3 linked regions of the Arabidopsis thaliana genome follow. The protein of the gene in region 3 interacts with the protein of the main gene of each other region in a pairwise test. Each region holds a gene or a part of one and is shown on either strand. Other genes may lie near its edges. The genes, in order: CNGC5, AT3G21340 and AT4G19380.

Region 1 (6,665 bases), on a different chromosome or scaffold from region 3:
TACAACTGTGGAATTTGGAAACAAATGTTATTATAAGTGGGCCTAATGGGAACTTCTGCCCATTAAAGGCCCATTATTTGAACTTATTAGCTTTAAGCTTGTCCACGATTTACATTAGCTATCTTCTTCGTCTCCGGGACTGAGACCGCTCTCTCTTCCTTATCCTCCATCTTCCAATGGTTTAATCCAGCAACTGTCGACGATGTCGATAACGTACTCCGCTATTTCCTGTAAGTTTCTTCCTCACTGTGTGTCGAATCCGTCCTCAATGCTCAATTTTATCCATTTATTGTGAGACTGTGATTGATTTTGGTTTCCGTTGTTTTATCCAGCTAGTACAGTTTCTGGGTTTTCACCAAAAAGTGTACCTTTTGCTATTCATAGCGTAACCAGGAGGCAATTTCTTAATCCCAACACGTTTTATAGATTTGGGTTCTCTCCTTCTCTTCAGGTCAGATTCCTTTACTAGTCAGTATCATCCAATTCTCCAGACTCTGCTTCGTTGTTGTTTTGGTTCTTAGAATTAGACCACACTTCGTTGCTTCCCTTTGAAGTAGAGAGTCAATGTTTACTGTTATGTGCGGATATGTTGTGCAGGGAAGTAGCATTGAGTTTAGCCTTCAGTTGAATTCAAGAGTTGTGCTTAGTAAAGAGCGTCGATCTCTGCCATTAGTTGTGAGAAATGATCGTCCTCAGAATGAAGACTTACCTAAGCAGTACACAAGGCGAGAGAAGAAACCTTTCCCAGTCCCTATTGTGGACCTGAGACGAGCTGCGAGGGAGAGAGTCAAGAACAACAAAGACAAACCTAAGAGACCTCTACCTCCGCCTAAAAATGGTATGGTTGTGAAGAGCCTTGTGCCTCTTGCTTATAAAGTATACAATGCAAGAATCAGATTGATCAACAATCTCCACCGGCTTATGAAAGTTGTTCGTGTTAATGCTTGTGGGTAAAAATTCTCTTCTTCTTCTTGTTTCATTTTTGGTCTGTTTTGAGTATGGCCTTTTTTTGATGTTGTATGATTGGTCTCTTAGGTGGTGCAATGAGATTCATGTTGGACCTTATGGGCATCCATTTAAGTCGTGTAAAGGTCCCAATACTTCCCAAAGGAAAGGTCTTCATGAATGGACTAACTCGGTTATTGAGGACGTTATTGTTCCTCTTGAAGCCTATCACCTTTTTGACCGCCTTGGCAAGCGTATCCGTCATGATGAAAGATTCTCGATTCCCCGAGTTCCTGCTGTAGTTGAGCTCTGCATTCAGGGCGGCGTTGAAATACCCGAATTTCCAGCAAAAAGGAGAAGAAAACCGATTATCCGCATTGGCAAAAGCGAGTTTGTTGATGCAGATGAAACTGAATTGCCTGATCCAGAGCCTCAGCCTCCTCCAGTGCCATTGTTAACTGAGTTACCTGTCTCAGAGATCACTCCCCCATCTAGCGAAGAAGAAACAGTCTCCTTAGCCGAAGAAACATTACAGGCCTGGGAAGAAATGAGAGCAGGAGCCAAAAAGCTGATGAGGATGTACAGGGTTAGGGTCTGTGGGTACTGTCCAGAGGTTCACGTAGGTCCAACGGGACACAAGGCCCAGAACTGTGGTGCATTCAAGCACCAACAGCGGAATGGCCAGCATGGTTGGCAATCTGCAGTACTTGACGACTTGATACCGCCAAGATATGTTTGGCATGTTCCTGATGTGAATGGGCCACCGATGCAGCGAGAGCTACGAAGCTTCTACGGGCAAGCACCTGCTGTTGTGGAGATATGTGCTCAGGCTGGCGCTGTTGTACCTGAGCATTATAGAGCTACAATGAGACTGGAGGTTGGAATTCCTTCGAGTGTGAAAGAAGCTGAGATGGTTGTTTGATATGTAGAAGACCTTGTAAACTTCTTCTTGTACAAAATCCTCCATTCCACCTTGTGTTGTATAATAATATCACAGCCCAGGTCTTTTTGACTTTTGAAGGACAAAAAAAACAATCCACGCTAATCCTATTATCAAGGGTAAAAATGTCATTTGCTTCGTTTTCATCTTTTCTCGTTGCCATTTTCTTTTTTTTGTCTGTGTCAAGTCGATACCACTTGTCTGGTAGCTTTATACCCACTTTCATCTTTTTCATGTTCGTAGTTGTTCCTCTGGTTATCCTCATCAACGGGACCCTTGAAACCGTGTAGCCATGTAAGCCTTTGTCTTTGTCTCTTTCTCTTGCTTCAGCAAGTTCACGTCTGCTCTATTTCTAATTTTGTTCTAAGATTCAATTCTCCTTTTTTCTATGCGAGAAATTTAAGATTGGTTCTCTAGCTCTACCTCTTTAAATTTGTTACTATGTGTCGGTGTCCATCATTCATCAAATTTTTTCCTTTTTTATCCATTTGAGTTGATGTAATGATGTTGCTTCGCTTCATACTGGTCAGAGTTAGTCTAATCTTCATTTTAGCACAACTTGACAACTTCATATGGTTATGACTTATTTTTACTTGGGTCTTTCAAAGGTTAAGTATTTTAGTCTTATTTTGGGATGATGCAGCTTGCTTAATGATTAGAGTCTTAAAGCTGTGCTCTTTCTTCATCGATTTGAGCAAGTGATCTTGGAAGGCTCTTGAGTTCTGAATTCCTTGTAAGCAATCATGGCAGGGAAAAGAGAAAACTTTGTGAGGTTAGTGCTGCATCCTTTTGTTTTAATACAAAGATCTGAAGTTTGAATGTGAGAAACGTATTGATTTGGCAATGGTTGTTTCTGATTTGTTTCCTTATGAAAGTATAGTGTGATTGTACTGAACTATAGCTTGTTGGTGCATAGTAATCTGAAAGTGGTGTTGTTCATACCTTTTATAGGGTGGATGATTTGGACTCTAGGTTACCATCATCATCTGTAGCCTTCCAACAGAACTACGCCTCCAATTTCAGTGGACAACTTCATCCTATTCATGCAAGCAATGAAACTTCTAGATCCTTCAAGAAAGGTATCCAGAAGGGTTCCAAAGGGCTTAAGTCGATCGGACGTTCACTTGGTTTCGGTGTTTATCGAGCAGTGTTCCCAGAAGACCTTAAAGTATCTGAAAAGAAGATATTTGATCCTCAGGATAAATTCCTTTTGTATTGCAATAAATTATTCGTTGCGTCATGTATTCTTTCAGTGTTTGTGGACCCTTTTTTCTTCTATCTTCCTGTGATTAATGCTGAGTCCAAGTGCCTGGGTATTGACAGAAAACTGGCTATCACAGCAAGTACATTGCGGACTTTTATCGATGTGTTTTATCTCGCTCACATGGCTCTCCAGCTTAGGACTGCTTATATTGCACCTTCATCACGGGTCTTTGGGCGAGGTGAACTCGTGATTGATCCTGCACAGATAGCAAAGAGATATCTACAACGTTGGTTTATTATTGACTTTCTCTCAGTACTTCCTCTCCCTCAGGTTGGTTAATATAAGTTTTGATCATTTCAGTAAATTGTGTGTTGGAAAACATCATTGCTTAATTTGTTGAAAGGGTGCAGTAGCCAGTAGTTGGTGATCAGACATCTCTGTCAAGCGCTTTCTAGTTCTAGATTTACAGTACTCATTTTGTGTATGTGCAGATTGTAGTTTGGAGGTTCTTGCAAAGTTCAAATGGGTCGGATGTATTGGCTACAAAGCAGGCCTTGCTTTTCATTGTTTTGGTCCAGTATATACCGCGATTCCTACGTGTCTTACCCTTGACGTCAGAATTGAAAAGGACAGCAGGTGTCTTTGCTGAAACGGCTTGGGCTGGTGCCGCTTATTATCTGCTTTTATATATGCTTGCAAGTCATGTGAGTTTATATACCTTTTTCATTTTAAGACGTTGCTTGTACTATTCAATGCTTGCCCATTCACCATGAGTTATGTGACTGTGGCACCAAAAGTGCAAAACAAGGAAATATTTGCATATCCGTTTCACTGTTATGAACTTATGTTCAAATGTTTAGTTTCCTAAGACATGTAAAGGAGCTTATTGAGCTTTCTGGTTAAGCCGTCTATGCTTACCTTTGATGTTCTATGCAACCTTTCGTTTTATCTTAGTTGATGTTCATGCCTCATGGGATCACAAATGTCAAGTTTCTTATGACGAGCAACTCTGATTGTATAGCTTATTTACTCTTCAATAATAGTATTGACTTGGTAAGTGCTATTTTGATTGAGCCACTGTTTCGTATCTTGCAGATAGTTGGAGCTTTTTGGTACCTTTTAGCCTTAGAACGTAACGACGCCTGCTGGCAGGAGGCCTGTATAGATGCAGGGAATTGCAGCACAGATTTCTTGTACTGTGGCAATCAAAACATGGACGGCTATGCTGTTTGGAACAGAGCCAAGGAATCTGTTCTTAAGTCCAAGTGCCGAGCTGACCTCGATGATAATAATCCTCCATTTGACTTTGGGATTTATACACAGGCTTTATCGTCTGGAATTGTCTCGTCCCAAAACTTCATCGTAAAATATTGTTATTGTTTGTGGTGGGGCCTTCAGAACTTGAGGTAACCATGTTCTATCACTATTCAGTCGAAAGACTATTGCTTTGATCTTACCAATTCTCACTAAACTCGGCTCCTTTATCAAAGTTATGCGTCTATGAGTTTCAGATATTCATATAGTACTTCTCATTGTTGCACCACAGTACACTTGGACAAGGGCTTGAAACCAGTACATACCCAATGGAGATTATATTTTCCATATCTCTCGCCATTTCTGGGTTGATCCTCTTTGCTCTTCTCATTGGAAACATGCAGGTGAGTAATTATGGTGCAACCTTAGCTACTTTCGTGATCATTAGAAATTTCTTGTAAGCTCTTTCAATGGAAGCATCATGCATAATTTGTTTCCTCTGCATAATGACTATCTAACAACATTTTGCAATCTTGGGACAGACATATCTCCAATCTCTTACCATCCGGCTTGAAGAAATGAGAGTAAAGAGGCGTGATTCAGAACAATGGATGCATCACAGAATGTTACCACAAGATCTTAGGGAGCGTGTGAGGCGCTATGACCAGTATAAATGGTTGGAGACACGTGGTGTAGATGAAGAGTATCTCGTTCAGAATCTTCCCAAGGATCTCCGGAGAGACATCAAGCGGCATCTCTGTCTGGCTTTAGTGCGAAGGGTAAGTTCTCCCCGCTGTTCCTTATTCAAGCTTCTCACATAGATCACACACCCTTTTGAACATCTAGGACCCATTGAATAACAGTCGGCTCATAACTAAAACGAGCTCTTGACCATCGACAAGCTAGCTTGGTTCATGATACGTTTTTACCATAATATTAGGTTCCATTGTTTAAGAGCATGGACGACAAGCTGCTGGATGCGATCTGTATGCGGCTGAAACCATGCTTGTTCACAGAGAGTACCTACTTAGTGCGGGAAGGAGATCCTGTAGACGAGATGCTATTCATAATACGTGGTCGCCTCGAGAGTGTGACAACAGATGGAGGCAGGAGCGGTTTCTTCAACCGCAGTCTCCTGAAAGAAGGAGAATTCTGCGGGGAAGAGCTTCTGACATGGGCATTGGATCCAAAATCAGGTGTAAATCTCCCGTCTTCCACGAGGACCGTGAAAGCTCTGACAGAAGTAGAGGCGTTTGCGCTGACCTCAGAGGAGCTGAAGTTTGTAGCAAGCCAGTTCCGGCGCTTACATAGCAGGCAAGTGCAGCACACATTCAGGTTTTACTCTCACCAATGGAGGACTTGGGCTGCTTGTTTCATCCAGGCTGCCTGGCGTAGATACTGCAAGAGGAAGAAAATGGAAGAGGCAGAAGCCGAGGCCGCGGCTGTGTCCAGCTCAACCGCTGGACCTTCATACTCCATTGGGGCTGCATTTCTTGCCACTAAGTTTGCGGCTAATGCGCTTCGCACCATTCACAGGAACCGGAACACAAAGATTAGGGATTTGGTGAAGCTGCAGAAGCCTCCTGAGCCTGATTTCACTGCTGACTGATGATTGAGCAGCTTGTAGACATTATTGTTTATAATTTATGGGAATCATTACGGTTGAGATAAACAAATATTGCTTGGCTTTAAAGCTGCTTGTGCTGTCTGTAAAATTAATATATGAAGTGTAGAAACAAAGAGATTATAGCCGTTGGATTTAATAAATGTACGGTTAGGATCATATGCCGGTTAAAGAATGGGTCTATTGGGCCTTTTAATGAAGCCCACAATATATTCACGGTGACATGCTCCGGTCCCAAGGTAGAGAGAAGTTGCGATTGATTTCGGTGAAAGAATTAAGAATCGATCGGACTTGGAGAAGAGAAGAGAAGATGGTTGGCGCGAATCTGAAAGCGGAGACGATGGCTCTAATGGACAAGAGAACAGCCATGGAGACGGAGATGAACTCTATTGTCGAACGTCTCTGCAATCCCGGTGGTCCTGGTCTCTCCGGCAATCTCATCGACTCGGAGGTACTGTATCTGCGTCCTCACTCTTCTCTAATCTTAACCGAAAATTCTGCTTAATTTTCTCCTTTGATTCGTTTGCTTATGGCAGGGATTTCCTCGGGAAGATATTGACATTCCCATGGTGAGAACTGAGCGCCGTCGTCTTGCTGGTGATTTCTCTTTTCTTGTGCTGAATTAGTCCATAGTTAGGGTGAGACTACAACTCCAAGGTTAGTTTAAACTTAGGAAACATAGCAGAATCATACTGATT
Region 2 (6,793 bases), on a different chromosome or scaffold from region 3:
AGCCATCGATCTTTTGGAAGAGAACGAAACCTTACCTTGTCTAATGGTCTCCAATTTCGATGCAGCATCAGTGAAAGCCTTGGATATATTATAAATAGTCCGACTCTGATTCAAACATACAAAATGAGAAAGAGAAGAAAACAAAACGTTTCAGAAACTAAAACAGACAACTATCATCAGCAACACACAAATCAAAAGAGGAAGAAACTTACAACTCGAGCTGCGAAGACACTACAAAGCTGAGGAGCTTGGTAAATAGAACCATCCAAGATATAATATGTTAGCATCGGTGTGACTTTCTCAGGACCATCTCTCTTTTGCTTACGAAAGACGAACAGGTTTGGTTCAGTAGCATCAGTTAACATATATTCTAGACCTGTCATCTTCCTACATAATATAATCACAATGGTTTCAATCAAACATTGTCACTAAATTCTCCACCTAAATCTATCTCCATTTCTCTAACAGTATCCCAGGTGAGACCAAACCCTAATTCGACCTAAAGTTGAAACCTTTATGAGTTTCAACATAACCCTATCTGTAGAGCAGTGAGGAGGAGCTTACGAGAGGTGAGAGAGATCGAGAGGGTGAATGGATCTTCTCCGAAGAATCTCATTGTTGCAAGTTGTATCGTAGAAAGGAGACAAAGCGAAGTAATCGAAGATGTAGTTACGATCAAGAGGGTATGAATTGATCCAGAGCTGATCCCTGAAGGAAATTCCAGTCATATCCGTTCCCGGAGGCTGTAACGGAGGAGGAATTTGATCCGCCGCATTGCCGTTGAAGGTATCGGCCGTAGCCGCCGAGAGCAGAGAGGAATCCATGGAAGTGAGTCACTTCGCCGTGAAGGAGAAGAGCACAGAGAAAGAAAGAGAGCGAGAGAGAGAATAATATGGTTCGGCCCATTATGTAATTTGGGCTTTCGAATTTCATTGGCCCAAAATTGAAGGAATTAGACAAATGTGTTATCAACTGATTCTGACAACATTTTTTTTTTTGTTACAAACTTATAATAACTATAGAACCTTTTTTTTTAATAACTAGTAATTGAACTTTGTCCGATGATAACTTAATTAATAAGAAGAAAACATAACAAAGGCAGATAAATCTTTTTTATAGAAATGAAATAAAAACACAGGGTTTTGTCCAAAAAACCACAAGGGTCAAAAGTCAACGACCATTTAAATCATAAGAAGGTTTTGTTGTGTGTTCCATGCACGTATCCTCCCTGGACCAGCTTCCAGCTAGCGAAGCCAATTGCTACGTTTACTTCTTTTTTTTATCAAAGTTTGTTGTGATTGTTGGGCCTTTGGAACCATTTTGATCCTCACAATCTTTGCTTCTTTTTAAACAATGTAAAATTAGTCTTCCACGTTGTAGCTTACCTATTTGGCTATTCATTTGCCATTGAATTGGATTTTTTTTTTTTTTGTTTCTTACCATGGAATATGGATGGCAGTTTCTGGAAATTGGAATTCAAATTAAAACTAAAGTGTGTCGAACCAAACCAAACCAAGATATTGTTCAATATGGATTCTATGTATATAAACTAAAAGAAAAGAAAAAAAAATCAAAAACCTAACAAACGCGCCTAACCAAAACTGAATTGAATACAAAAAGCAAAAACCAAGTTATATTATTTACTTCAATTTGATTTATTTAGTCGAAAATAAGATATATTAGTGCATTATGCATACGTACGAATACAACGTTAAAAAACAGGACATTGACATCAACTAAACGGCATTGGAAGATTATTGGATCGTTAATTTTTAAATCTTTATAGAATGTTAATCAAATCAAACATATTAGTTTAGTTTTATTTAGGTTCGAGACAACCGACTCTTGTATACATATTTTTTTTCATAAGTTGACCTACAAAAATAACGTCGTGCTTATTAGTTTTCAATAATTTCCATTATTGCCTAGATATCTCAAACCTCTGCTTTTTCTTTTTGTAAATGTCTCTCTCTTTTGTTTCATAGAAGAATAATGGAGTACCATCCTCAAGCAATTAGGTTATGTGCGTTGATCTTCATCTCTTTCTATGCTCTTTTACACCTCGTTGAAGCACAAGACCAAAAAGGTATATACATATACACATTTCTTTGTTGTTTTTGATAATGTTTCGTCGAAATTATGTTCTTACTTAGTTTTCTGATACATTTTGTTCGCTTGTGTTACTAGGATTCATTAGTTTGGATTGCGGGTCATTGCCAAATGAGCCTCCTTACAACGATCCTTCAACCGGATTAACATACTCGACGGACGATGGTTTCGTGCAGAGTGGCAAAACTGGAAGAATCCAGAAAGCGTTCGAGTCGATCTTCAGTAAACCGTCTTTGAAGCTTAGATACTTCCCGGACGGATTCCGAAACTGCTATACCTTGAATGTCACGCAAGACACAAACTATCTGATCAAAGCTGTATTTGTGTATGGTAACTACGATGGTCTTAACAATCCCCCGAGTTTCGATCTTTACCTTGGTCCGAATCTATGGGTAACGGTTGATATGAATGGACGGACCAATGGTACTATCCAGGAGATTATCCACAAGACCATATCTAAGTCTCTCCAGGTCTGTCTTGTTAAGACAGGAACAAGCTCACCTATGATTAATACGTTAGAGCTACGACCACTTAAAAACAATACTTACAATACTCAGAGTGGCTCTCTGAAGTATTTCTTCCGATATTATTTCAGCGGTTCAGGCCAAAACATACGGTATGAATCACGCCCTTTCACTTAATCATGAACAAAATTTGGTTTCTGGTTCTGTTTGATCCGTTTAGGATAAACTTTTTAACGAAGATTATTTGTTTTAAACCTTTAATAAATTTAGTGTATATATTGAAGTTTAAAGATTATAATTACTTATTAGGTTTTTGGTTGCACAAAACTCGGATTGGGTTCATTTGGTATAGACATTTTTCTAGCATCTTGGTTTATTAATATGGATTTTGATTTGTTTCAGTAAGTTTGTTTTTAAGTAAAATGTTAGTCTTTAATACATGACAAAAATATTTTTGATAGGTACCCTGATGATGTCAATGATCGTAAATGGTATCCATTCTTTGATGCAAAAGAGTGGACAGAGTTAACAACCAATCTGAATATAAACAGTTCTAATGGTTATGCACCACCAGAAGTTGTGATGGCGTCAGCCTCAACGCCTATAAGTACTTTTGGAACATGGAACTTCTCATGGTTATTGCCATCTTCCACAACCCAATTTTATGTGTACATGCATTTTGCCGAGATTCAAACTCTACGGTCCCTCGATACCCGAGAATTCAAAGTGACGTTGAATGGAAAACTTGCTTATGAACGCTACAGCCCTAAAACGTTAGCCACCGAAACCATTTTCTATTCGACACCACAACAATGTGAAGATGGGACATGCCTCTTGGAGTTGACGAAAACACCTAAGTCTACTCTTCCTCCTCTCATGAACGCTCTTGAGGTTTTCACCGTGATCGATTTTCCACAGATGGAAACAAATCCAGATGATGGTAAGTCTATATGTTTCAATCAATTTCCTCTATAAATATAATTTCATGGGTTGTTTTTTGATGCAACAATAACTTTATTCTAGTTGCTGCTATCAAGAGTATCCAAAGCACTTATGGATTAAGTAAAATCAGCTGGCAAGGAGATCCATGCGTTCCTAAACAGTTTTTGTGGGAGGGTTTAAACTGCAATAATCTAGATAACTCCACGCCGCCTATTGTCACTTCCTTGTAAGATCAATCTTAAATTATTGTATTAGTTATGTCACATGATTTTATCATCTGTAAATGAAATGTGTGCATGCATAAATATGTCTTTAGAAACTTATCGTCAAGTCATTTAACGGGGATCATCGCGCAAGGCATTCAGAATCTGACACACCTACAAGAACTGTAAGTATTTCGTATTTCAAAACTGAGCATAATGAAAACTATTTGTTCACCTTAATTGTATCTTGTTTATAACATATTTTTGTACTTACAAATGCTTATGTAGAGACTTGTCAAATAACAATTTGACGGGAGGAATACCCGAATTTCTTGCTGACATAAAATCACTCTTAGTAATGTGAGTCGTTTTAAACAAGACAATTTTTTATAATCTATTAGCCTCTTCGCACTACAAGATTGCCTATGTTTCTAACATTGTGTCTATCTTAACAGAAATTTAAGTGGGAACAATTTTAATGGCTCTATTCCTCAAATCCTTTTACAGAAGAAAGGACTAAAGCTAATGTAAGCTTTTCTCATATAATATTTTCATGACTATATAAAATTTGTGCTCAAGTCTCCTAAATGACTGGTAAATTTCTTTTTTTCCTCAACATTGGTAACTCATAGTCTTGAAGGAAACGCCAATCTGATTTGTCCGGATGGATTATGTGTAAACAAAGCTGGCAATGGTGGTGCCAAGAAAATGAATGTTGTAATACCGATTGTTGCATCAGTTGCGTTTGTGGTTGTTCTTGGATCTGCATTGGCGTTCTTTTTTATTTTCAAAAAGAAAAAGACATCAAACAGTCAAGGTATACACAAAAAGAACCTTTAAATTGCCTTGAATACTGCAATACATATGTTCACTATGTATAAAAAGTCTCATTATACTGTTGCATTGTAACATTAGATTTAGGTCCATCTTCATATACTCAAGTATCAGAAGTTAGAACAATCAGATCTTCAGAGTCGGCAATAATGACTAAGAACAGAAGATTTACATATTCGGAGGTTGTAACAATGACAAATAACTTTGAAAGAGTTCTTGGTAAAGGAGGATTTGGAATGGTTTATCATGGAACTGTAAATAATACTGAACAAGTAGCCGTTAAAATGCTTTCACACTCATCTTCTCAAGGATATAAAGAATTCAAAGCAGAGGTAAGTTTTAGCAAGGTTATTAAGAAACGTTTGTAGAAACACTATCGTTTTATTAGAGTAACATGTCAAATTTTGATGTATTGCTCTTCCACTCCTCTAGGTGGAACTTCTTCTCAGAGTTCACCACAAAAATTTGGTTGGCCTCGTTGGATATTGTGATGAAGGAGAAAACTTGGCTCTTATCTACGAGTACATGGCTAACGGAGACTTGAGAGAACATATGTCAGGTAAGTATTTATAGTTGCTACAAATACATATTTGTTGTGGTGTTTTCACATATTTATATGTTGATTCAAATGTAGGAAAGCGAGGTGGATCTATTCTAAATTGGGAAACTAGACTAAAAATAGTTGTCGAGTCTGCCCAAGGTTTGATATGAGTTTTAATATAATTTTTGCTTGTATCCTCTATTCATTTGCTTAACCCTTGATGAAAATGAAATTTGTTGCATAGGTTTGGAATACTTGCATAATGGATGCAAACCACCAATGGTTCATAGGGATGTTAAAACCACAAATATATTGTTGAATGAACACCTCCATGCTAAGCTAGCTGATTTTGGGCTTTCGAGATCTTTTCCAATTGAAGGAGAAACTCATGTGTCAACAGTTGTTGCTGGAACTCCTGGATACCTTGATCCAGAGTAAGTTTCATAATTGTTGGGCAATGATTTTCTTTTAAATTTTATTTTAAGGGTAATTGCTAGTTTTCATCTATCATGAGTATCATCACTTGATAGGATATCATATATATTTTTTATTTTTAATAGGATAAATATTGATTTTGCAGATATTACCGAACAAATTGGTTGAACGAGAAAAGTGATGTTTATAGCTTTGGAATTGTACTATTAGAGATCATCACAAACCAACTTGTGATCAATCAAAGTCGTGAAAAACCACATATAGCAGAATGGGTGGGGTTAATGCTTACAAAAGGAGACATTCAAAACATTATGGATCCAAAACTTTATGGTGATTATGACTCTGGTTCTGTCTGGAGAGCAGTTGAACTAGCAATGTCATGTCTAAATCCTTCTTCAGCTAGAAGACCAACAATGTCTCAAGTTGTTATCGAATTAAACGAATGTTTGTCATATGAAAACGCAAGAGGAGGAACGAGTCAAAACATGAACTCAGAGAGTTCAATAGAAGTCAGCATGAACTTTGATATTGGAGCTACCCCTGATGCTCGTTAGACTGCAAGAGTCATTTTATCTTTGTTTTCTTGAGTGGATTTTTGTTATTTTCAAAGGAAAATTTTAAAAGTTTTGTAATGAATTTATGTCATTAATGAATGTGATTTATTGGAATCAAGATTAGCAGCATAGACTCGATCTACGGTTAAAAAAAGAGGATAAAGTCCAATCATAACTCTCTTTAATTTATTTTGCAGAATGAAAACGTAGTAGAAATGGATGTAATCTTAGTGGAATAAACAAAGCAAATGATGAGACATGTTTATACGTTTCTTGTGATCAAAGTTTCGAAGCTCTAGATATATAGCAATAGGCCCGGGATGACTCAAATATGATCGAGGGGAAGAAGCGCGCACCTGCCAATTGCTCGCTACGACCATCTTCTATCTCAGTTCACGTCATTGTTTGATATAAAAGTGACTTGTTCTGTACGTTAAATCATATTTGACTCATCCTGGGCCTATTGCTCTGTATGGTTTTTCTAACTGACTCAGTTATTTATTTGTAATATGATAGTTCCAAAATAAGACATTACAAATGATTTATACACGTACATTTTATACAACAACTTCCATTTTTAGTTTATTTTAACTATATATCATATTTGTCCACCAAAATTTACGATGTAGTCAAAGTTGATATCTAGTAGCATTCTAATTTAGTGCATAATAAATTTAACGTAAAGATTATCAGTGTATTGTTGTATGTGGA
Region 3 (6,536 bases):
AAAACCATTTTAAAGAAAATAGATGATGGCGTATACTTTTGATACAAGTACACAACACAAACTTAAAATTTTGGATATGTGACTATGTGAGGTAACTTCTCATAGAAATCTTCTTTGTCAACTAAATAATATGGAAATAAAAGAGAGGAGAATATTATCATACATTAAAATAAAATTTTTTTCCAAAACGATTAAAAGGAAATAGATGATTTGTGTTTACTAAAGACGAGGTCAAACGTAGATTGTTTGACTTACATACAAAGTGGCCTTAATAAAAAGAACAAAAGCATGATAATGGCATGGACTATAGAAGTTGAGTATAGATTAAGCCTTCCCAAGTTAAAGGCTTGAAACTTTTTGTATACATAATTTTTTGTTTGTTTTGTTTTAGAATTAAAATCTGAAATTTTAATATGATTTTTTATTTCATATCATATATTGCCTACTAGCTTAAGAAATATTATCCATTTTGCTCATCTTTATTTCTTATTTATCAAGCTGCTACTGCCTACCAGTGTTTACTAGTTATAGTTTACGAATAATTAAAAGAAAAGGAAATTTATTGCTAACTGATACTTTGACAAAGAACTTCTTAATATTAGTTTTATCAATTGTATAAAAAAAACATTTCATTTTAAAAAATATGTGGAAAACTAAAATCTATTTCAAACTGATGAACCCTCACTTCTTCTTCTTAAGAACATCAACAACATTAAGTCCAATACAATAAGCAATAGACTGAACGGTGACCATCGGATTAACCCCTAAAGCGGTCGGAAAAACACTTGTGTCCGCCACAAATAACCTTTCGACCTCCCAAGTCTCTCCTGTTGGCCTCACCGCGGATTCCTCCGGCCTAATTCCCATCCTACAACTTCCCATTTGGTGAGCTGAACATATCTGACCTGACAAATCCTTCAACGGCTTTGAACTCTCTTCTCTCACAAACCGCTCAATCTCTAACGAACTCGCTGTTCTAACATTCAGACTCCTACCTTCTGAATGATGCGTCCCAATCTCCTCGGCTCCGGCTGCGGCCAGAATCTTCAAGACTCTTTCAAGACCGTTCTTTAGACTCTCTTCGTCTTCATCGTTTAAGTTGTAGTCAATGTAGGTCTTGGAATCTATTGTTCCGGTTCCTTTATCTCTCAGAAGCGCAAAAATGTGTGCGGTTCTTGAAAATTTGAGCATTCGGGTTTTGAAATCCTTGCTTGATGTCCAGGGAATGATCCCTGAGAACATTCCTGGATGTAGAGCAGGTGTCTGGATAACCATTTCACCATAAGAACTATGCGTTTCTTCAATTACAACGCTAGACATCGCAGTCATTATTCCCCCCTCGTAGCTCTTTTTCTTCTTTTCCGGCCACTTATCTTCCTCTGGAAACCATCCCCAAGCCATAACAACCGGATGTAGACAAAGGTTTCTCCCAATGTTACTATTCTTCAAACCGCTACGTTTCAACAGATGCGGCGTTCTAAGCGCACCGCAAGCCACTATTGTCACTCTAGACTCCACCACATAAATCTCTTCCCCAAACGCAAACGCAACTCCAGTTGCCTTCTTCTTCTTCCCCTGTTCACAGTCGTACATGACTTCCGTCGCTTGACAACCTGGAAGGATTAAACCATTATCAGATTCCACCAAATCTACAAGCCAAGTCTCTGAAGTCCCCTGCTTTTGACCTTTCTTGCAACCCAAGCAACAAAACCCACAGTAATGATCGGATGGAGCATTCCTCGGAATATTCTTCACTGGTAACCCTAACTTTTCACAACCTTTTCTCAATACCTCATTATTAAACCCTTCTTCTACAAATCCGCATTGAACACCCATCCTCTTACAGACAACATCCATTGCCTCTCGATACAAATCACTTCCGAACATTTCGAGTTTTGACTTTTCTGCCCATTCCTTCATCACATGTTCTGGTGTCTTGATCGAGGCGGACCAATTGATTGTAGAACCACCTCCGACTGTGGATCCCGCAAGAATCACTACGTTCGTATCGGACGTCGCTAATAACCCACCGGATAAATACATGTCATCCATAGCTTGCCCTTCAAGTAAAGAAAGTTTGCTTCTTGCATAGTAATTCCCTGACTCAATCACCAACACTTTGTAACCAGCCTTGGCTAACACTCCTGCCGCCACTCCTCCACCGGATCCAGACCCAACCACCACAGCATCACACTGGATTTTCATCACCGGGTCAGAGATAGATGATCCGTTTGTATTCCTCTTTTGATTTGAAACTGCGAACCCACGACCGGCTAGCTTCTTTTCCACGGCTTCTCTAGGGCTTTTTAGATCAACGATGCCATTGTAAAGTGGTCCAAAGATCTCCTCAGGTTTCTTCTTCTTCTTCTCCTCGTTTAGTTCTACTTCATGATCACTATGATCAGGGCTGGGTCCATTGTAACCTATTGCTTTCCACGCCAAGTTCCTTCCTTTTTCATCAACCTGAATTTTTAAAAATCAATAGGAATAATTAAAAAAAAATTAGTAGTTAGTTATATGGTATATCAAGTTGACAAGTTTCATGTTCCCTCCGGGATTCATTGGGTAACGAGTTTCGTTGAAGAGGAACTTTCAACAGGTCCACCACAAGTAAATCATTGGGCCATATAGACCCCATTACCATATATGGTCTAAGAATATATTTTTCATTTGGACTCAAATTTCAAGAATCAGTAAATATATCCAAGTCATTACCAACTCACTCATGTCCTTTATTTTATAATTTACTCATACCAGTTAAAGTGACTAAAATGTAAATCTTAAATAAATTGATAAGTTTAATTAGTAGACTAAGGTTTAACTTATATTGCAAACAAATGTGTGAAAATCATAAAACATAAAGCTTAAAAGAAACATAATGAGTACACATCTATCAAAAGTGATAAGAAATTGAAATAAGTGACAAAGATTTCGAGTTTAGTTTACCTGAGTGAAGAAGACAAGGGCACTTATAAGTTTGATGGTCCTAAATAACATTCTAAGAAGTGAGAAATAGCTTGAAGACCAATTCAGCAATATCTCTTCTCTCCGTTTCTCCGGAAGCCGGCAGAATCTCCGGAAGTAAGGAAACTCGCCGGTGAAACTTCTCCAACCACACAAGACTAGACTTCCGATCCAAGTAGAGAGTAACCACAATCCAGCTCTTAGTATCCACTTCTTTGGGTGGTGAAGTCTCTCACTCATTAACCTCGCCACCTGTTATTACGAATTTATGATACAATAACAAACGGTCAGGGTTAACGGTTAAGTAAATGTAATGAAATTTGTATTCAAAAAAAAAATGTTCGTTCTATTTAACTTTAACCTATACAAATTTTCATAGCTGGTATATCTAGCATAACGGTTTTTGGTTCATGAGTCAATTATATTTGGATTTCCAACCAGACCATATGCGGCCAAACCACGATTATGGTTAAGCAGTCGCTTCTTCGTTATTCCTATAATTGACTAATATCTAATCGTTCTTTGAAAATTTTAATAGTGCATATCAACTAATTTACACATACACGATGTAGTGAACACGATATGTAAGGTTCAATCTATTTTTACCTTCTTTTTGCCAATGAGTTATGACAAGAAAAAAAGAACAATTGAATCGGTCGTCGGAGTGATATATTAATACCAAATTTATAATAATAGTTATATGGAACGAATAAATAGTAGCCAAAAGAGAAGGAATTAACAAATTTATTTTTAGCAATTAACTTGAGATGGCATCAATGGCATGCGTGACGATGGAATGTAGGTGTACTTGAAATCTGTCGGCTCTATATTTCACTGAAAGTACTGGTTTTTTGTTGTCATCTATAGTACCGTTTCTCTTTTTAGATATGGAAAGTACTGATTCACATGCATGCAATGCAGATTTTTAAATGCATATGTAAATATCTTTTTGCTAAATAAGTTATAGACAGTTTAACCCGTAAAAACTGTTGTTTAAACGTTGTATAAGTCGGATATGAATCACCTTTGAGTAAGAAAGAAATGTTTTACGTTTACTAATTTCTTTTCTAAAACGATCTGAATCAAGAAAGATTACAAATAAAAAACCGTGATTTTAAAATTATGTCCATAAATCATTCTTATTTTATTTCTTGTAAAAATAAAGAAAAAATCAACTGTAATAATATCTCAGCAAACGTATGCATATGGATCCAAATTAATAATTTAAATCATCCTAAACGATTTAAATTATGCTCTATTCTCTTTTGTTTGTAAAAAGGGTTAGCTAGAAATAATAAAAAATGCATGTATATAACAAATAGGTTTTGTTTTGATAAAGCATGTAACATATAAAAATCGGGAAGCATATCTACTTATATATGTTATATGTGCATGCATGTATGTAAATCTCTTTTATATGTGAATGCATGTTTGTATATATAACACTTACGCGGTCGGGAGTTCCGGTCTGAGAAGCGGAGGCGGAGAAATATCCAGCGACGCAATCATCCACGTGTCCTACTCCAGAGTCGTCGATGGAGGATATGAAGGTATCGCAGATCGCAACAAGAGATTCCATCTCACGTGGCGTCAGTGAGTTTGCATAAAACGGCTTCGTTTCATCTCTCTGCCGGAGGTTTCCAGTTTCGACGTCTAATTTGGCCGCCGACGTCGTATCTTTCTGAAGGCAGCTGTGATTCTCCATGTATTCAATACTTTAAGTTGTGGCTAGTAAAGTTTATGACGTGTTGTATTTATATAGAGACCAAAGGATTAAATACAAATATAATATATATATATATCTATCTGTTTGGTACCAGCAAGGAAAAGTTTGATACTAGCAAGTACACTGATCCGAATTAGGTTTTCGAAATTTCATTATAAGCTTGTGATCTTTTTTTTATAGAAAACATGGACACCATTCTTAAAAAACGCTAGACAAATTTGTTTACTTAAGTCAAACTTTCTGAAATGTAAGTTTTAAATTGCATATTCTGAATCAGATATAGATATGAAATATATATTAACTCTTACAAATATTTGTTTACGAATTCGTATATATTCGTATGTATCCTAAATCCAATAAAACAAAAATATCAGAGGATGGGTAATCGACAGTTTAGGGGTAGTCTATAACAATGGGTATTAGCCTATTAGGTGGAGCCTAATATTTCAGAAAATTTATTTCCTATAATTCATATAGATATATCATACATATGTGTGAATATAATTTACTTTGACTTTTTCAGAATTTTTTTATAAAAGTATTAAATTCTTTACACACACCCACTTTATTCGTAATTTTAGTTCCAACTACGTAAAGATTTGTGTTGCAAGTGATGACGAAGTGATCGTGACATGATTTATATCAATAAGTTACATATATGGTTTGGGAAAACATTTGAGCAATCATACGGAATTACCAAGTAATGTACATTGGTTGAAATATCAAAGGGGTATATAAACTTTTGGTCTTTGCAACAAATCTGTTAAATTAGATAACGCAAGTTAAATTTATTTATATATTTGATATTAGTTATTACTTCGTCTATCTATAATAGACTAGCGATTTATGAACCAAAACGTTGTTTTTATAGTATTCAAGTTTAAATGATCTATTCATTAATATTATGGTTTAGAGATTCAACTCATTTTAAGTAAAATACCGTTCTAGTTTTGTTACTAAAGTAATTTACGCATTTTTGTTCTAATATTTTTATGATAAAAGCTGATTTTCATACTAAATTTTTAAATAACTATTGAATAAGTTGCAAAATTTCGAACTTCGTTGAAAGAGAGGCTGATTCAGACATGTGTGGATGTCTACAGATATGGGAACTCAAAATATAAAGGAATGATTTTATCATAACTTCGAATGATTAGTAGAACACAAATCAGGTAATAATGTAAGAAAAAATGACAATGTTCATTAATATGATAGAATCAAATAAAGTACAGAGAGGTCATGAAAGGACCCAACGAGTGAGTGATCAGGGTATCAAACTGGACCCTTTGAGAGAGAAAAAAAAAGAAAAGCGAATTGAATGTAGAAGACAGTACAGTTAACAATACCTGTCCTCCATAATTATCATTCATTAAGTTTCTGAGATTCTCCTCCAGATTTTGAGTTTTATCTTCCCCCTTTTTTATGTAAATTATAGGTGCATTGATATCATCGATTGTCCAATGCAAGTTGATAATGTGGTAGATGTAATTTAATAAAAATTTATGATCTCCTATTTTTTGAACGTGCTTAATGTTGTTATTTTTTTCAGAAGTGTGTATATTTATTGCGTATAGATTGAAATTCTTTGAGTTTGTTTGGGAATGATTACTAGTTATACTCATCTTGATCGGTTCAGACTTCTTATATATATGTAGTTTGGGGAAAGATATACCCCATGAGTGCGATGGTTGTCGAAAACTTTGAATTCTGATATTCATAATTTCATATCTAATCAGAAATGTATTATTAAGTTTTCTTTTTCAATAGTATTAGTATTATATAATAACCACTTCAATTCTTATGAGTGTTTATTAAAGATGCTTACAAATTTAATGTGGTGTCGCCG

What was found.
Region 1: the proteins of AT4G19380 (region 3) and CNGC5 interact in a protein complementation assay, tested with the Arabidopsis thaliana proteins (one large-scale study listed by BioGRID).
Region 2: the proteins of AT4G19380 (region 3) and AT3G21340 interact in a protein complementation assay, tested with the Arabidopsis thaliana proteins (one large-scale study listed by BioGRID).

Annotation. Positions count from the first base shown.
Region 1 is NC_003076.8:23,454,488-23,461,152, forward strand, and holds CNGC5 (cyclic nucleotide gated channel 5), read left to right. Parts: upstream 1-2,077; 5' UTR 2,078-2,179; exon of another isoform or gene 2,180-2,410; intron 2,411-2,528; 5' UTR 2,529-2,628; coding exon 2,629-2,657; intron 2,658-2,836; coding exon 2,837-3,419; intron 3,420-3,580; coding exon 3,581-3,793; intron 3,794-4,184; coding exon 4,185-4,495; intron 4,496-4,635; coding exon 4,636-4,747; intron 4,748-4,885; coding exon 4,886-5,122; intron 5,123-5,283; coding exon 5,284-5,952; 3' UTR 5,953-6,134; downstream 6,135-6,665. Other genes in the region: APO2 (APO RNA-binding protein (DUF794)), read left to right, coding at 203-230, 333-451, 598-950, 1,036-1,867; AT5G57950 (26S proteasome regulatory subunit), read left to right, coding at 6,191-6,418, 6,504-6,564. UniProt on the Arabidopsis thaliana protein: Probable cyclic nucleotide-gated ion channel.
Region 2 is NC_003074.8:7,511,137-7,517,929, reverse strand, and holds AT3G21340 (Leucine-rich repeat protein kinase family protein), read left to right. Parts: upstream 1-1,856; 5' UTR 1,857-1,992; coding exon 1,993-2,086; intron 2,087-2,187; coding exon 2,188-2,725; intron 2,726-3,034; coding exon 3,035-3,513; intron 3,514-3,596; coding exon 3,597-3,741; intron 3,742-3,831; coding exon 3,832-3,903; intron 3,904-4,006; coding exon 4,007-4,078; intron 4,079-4,173; coding exon 4,174-4,245; intron 4,246-4,350; coding exon 4,351-4,535; intron 4,536-4,633; coding exon 4,634-4,884; intron 4,885-4,984; coding exon 4,985-5,111; intron 5,112-5,186; coding exon 5,187-5,252; coding exon of another isoform or gene 5,253-5,263; exon of another isoform or gene 5,264-5,337; coding exon 5,338-5,527; intron 5,528-5,673; coding exon 5,674-6,082; 3' UTR 6,083-6,174; downstream 6,175-6,793. Other genes in the region: MED6 (RNA polymerase transcriptional regulation mediator-like protein), read right to left, coding at 36-105, 213-387, 565-824. UniProt on the Arabidopsis thaliana protein: Probable receptor with a dual specificity kinase activity acting on both serine/threonine- and tyrosine-containing substrates.
Region 3 is NC_003075.7:10,567,746-10,574,281, forward strand, and holds AT4G19380 (Long-chain fatty alcohol dehydrogenase family protein), read right to left. Parts: upstream 4,772-6,536; 5' UTR 4,670-4,771; coding exon 4,415-4,669; intron 3,217-4,414; coding exon 2,947-3,216; intron 2,464-2,946; coding exon 682-2,463; 3' UTR 578-681; downstream 1-577. UniProt on the Arabidopsis thaliana protein: Long-chain fatty alcohol oxidase involved in the omega-oxidation pathway of lipid degradation.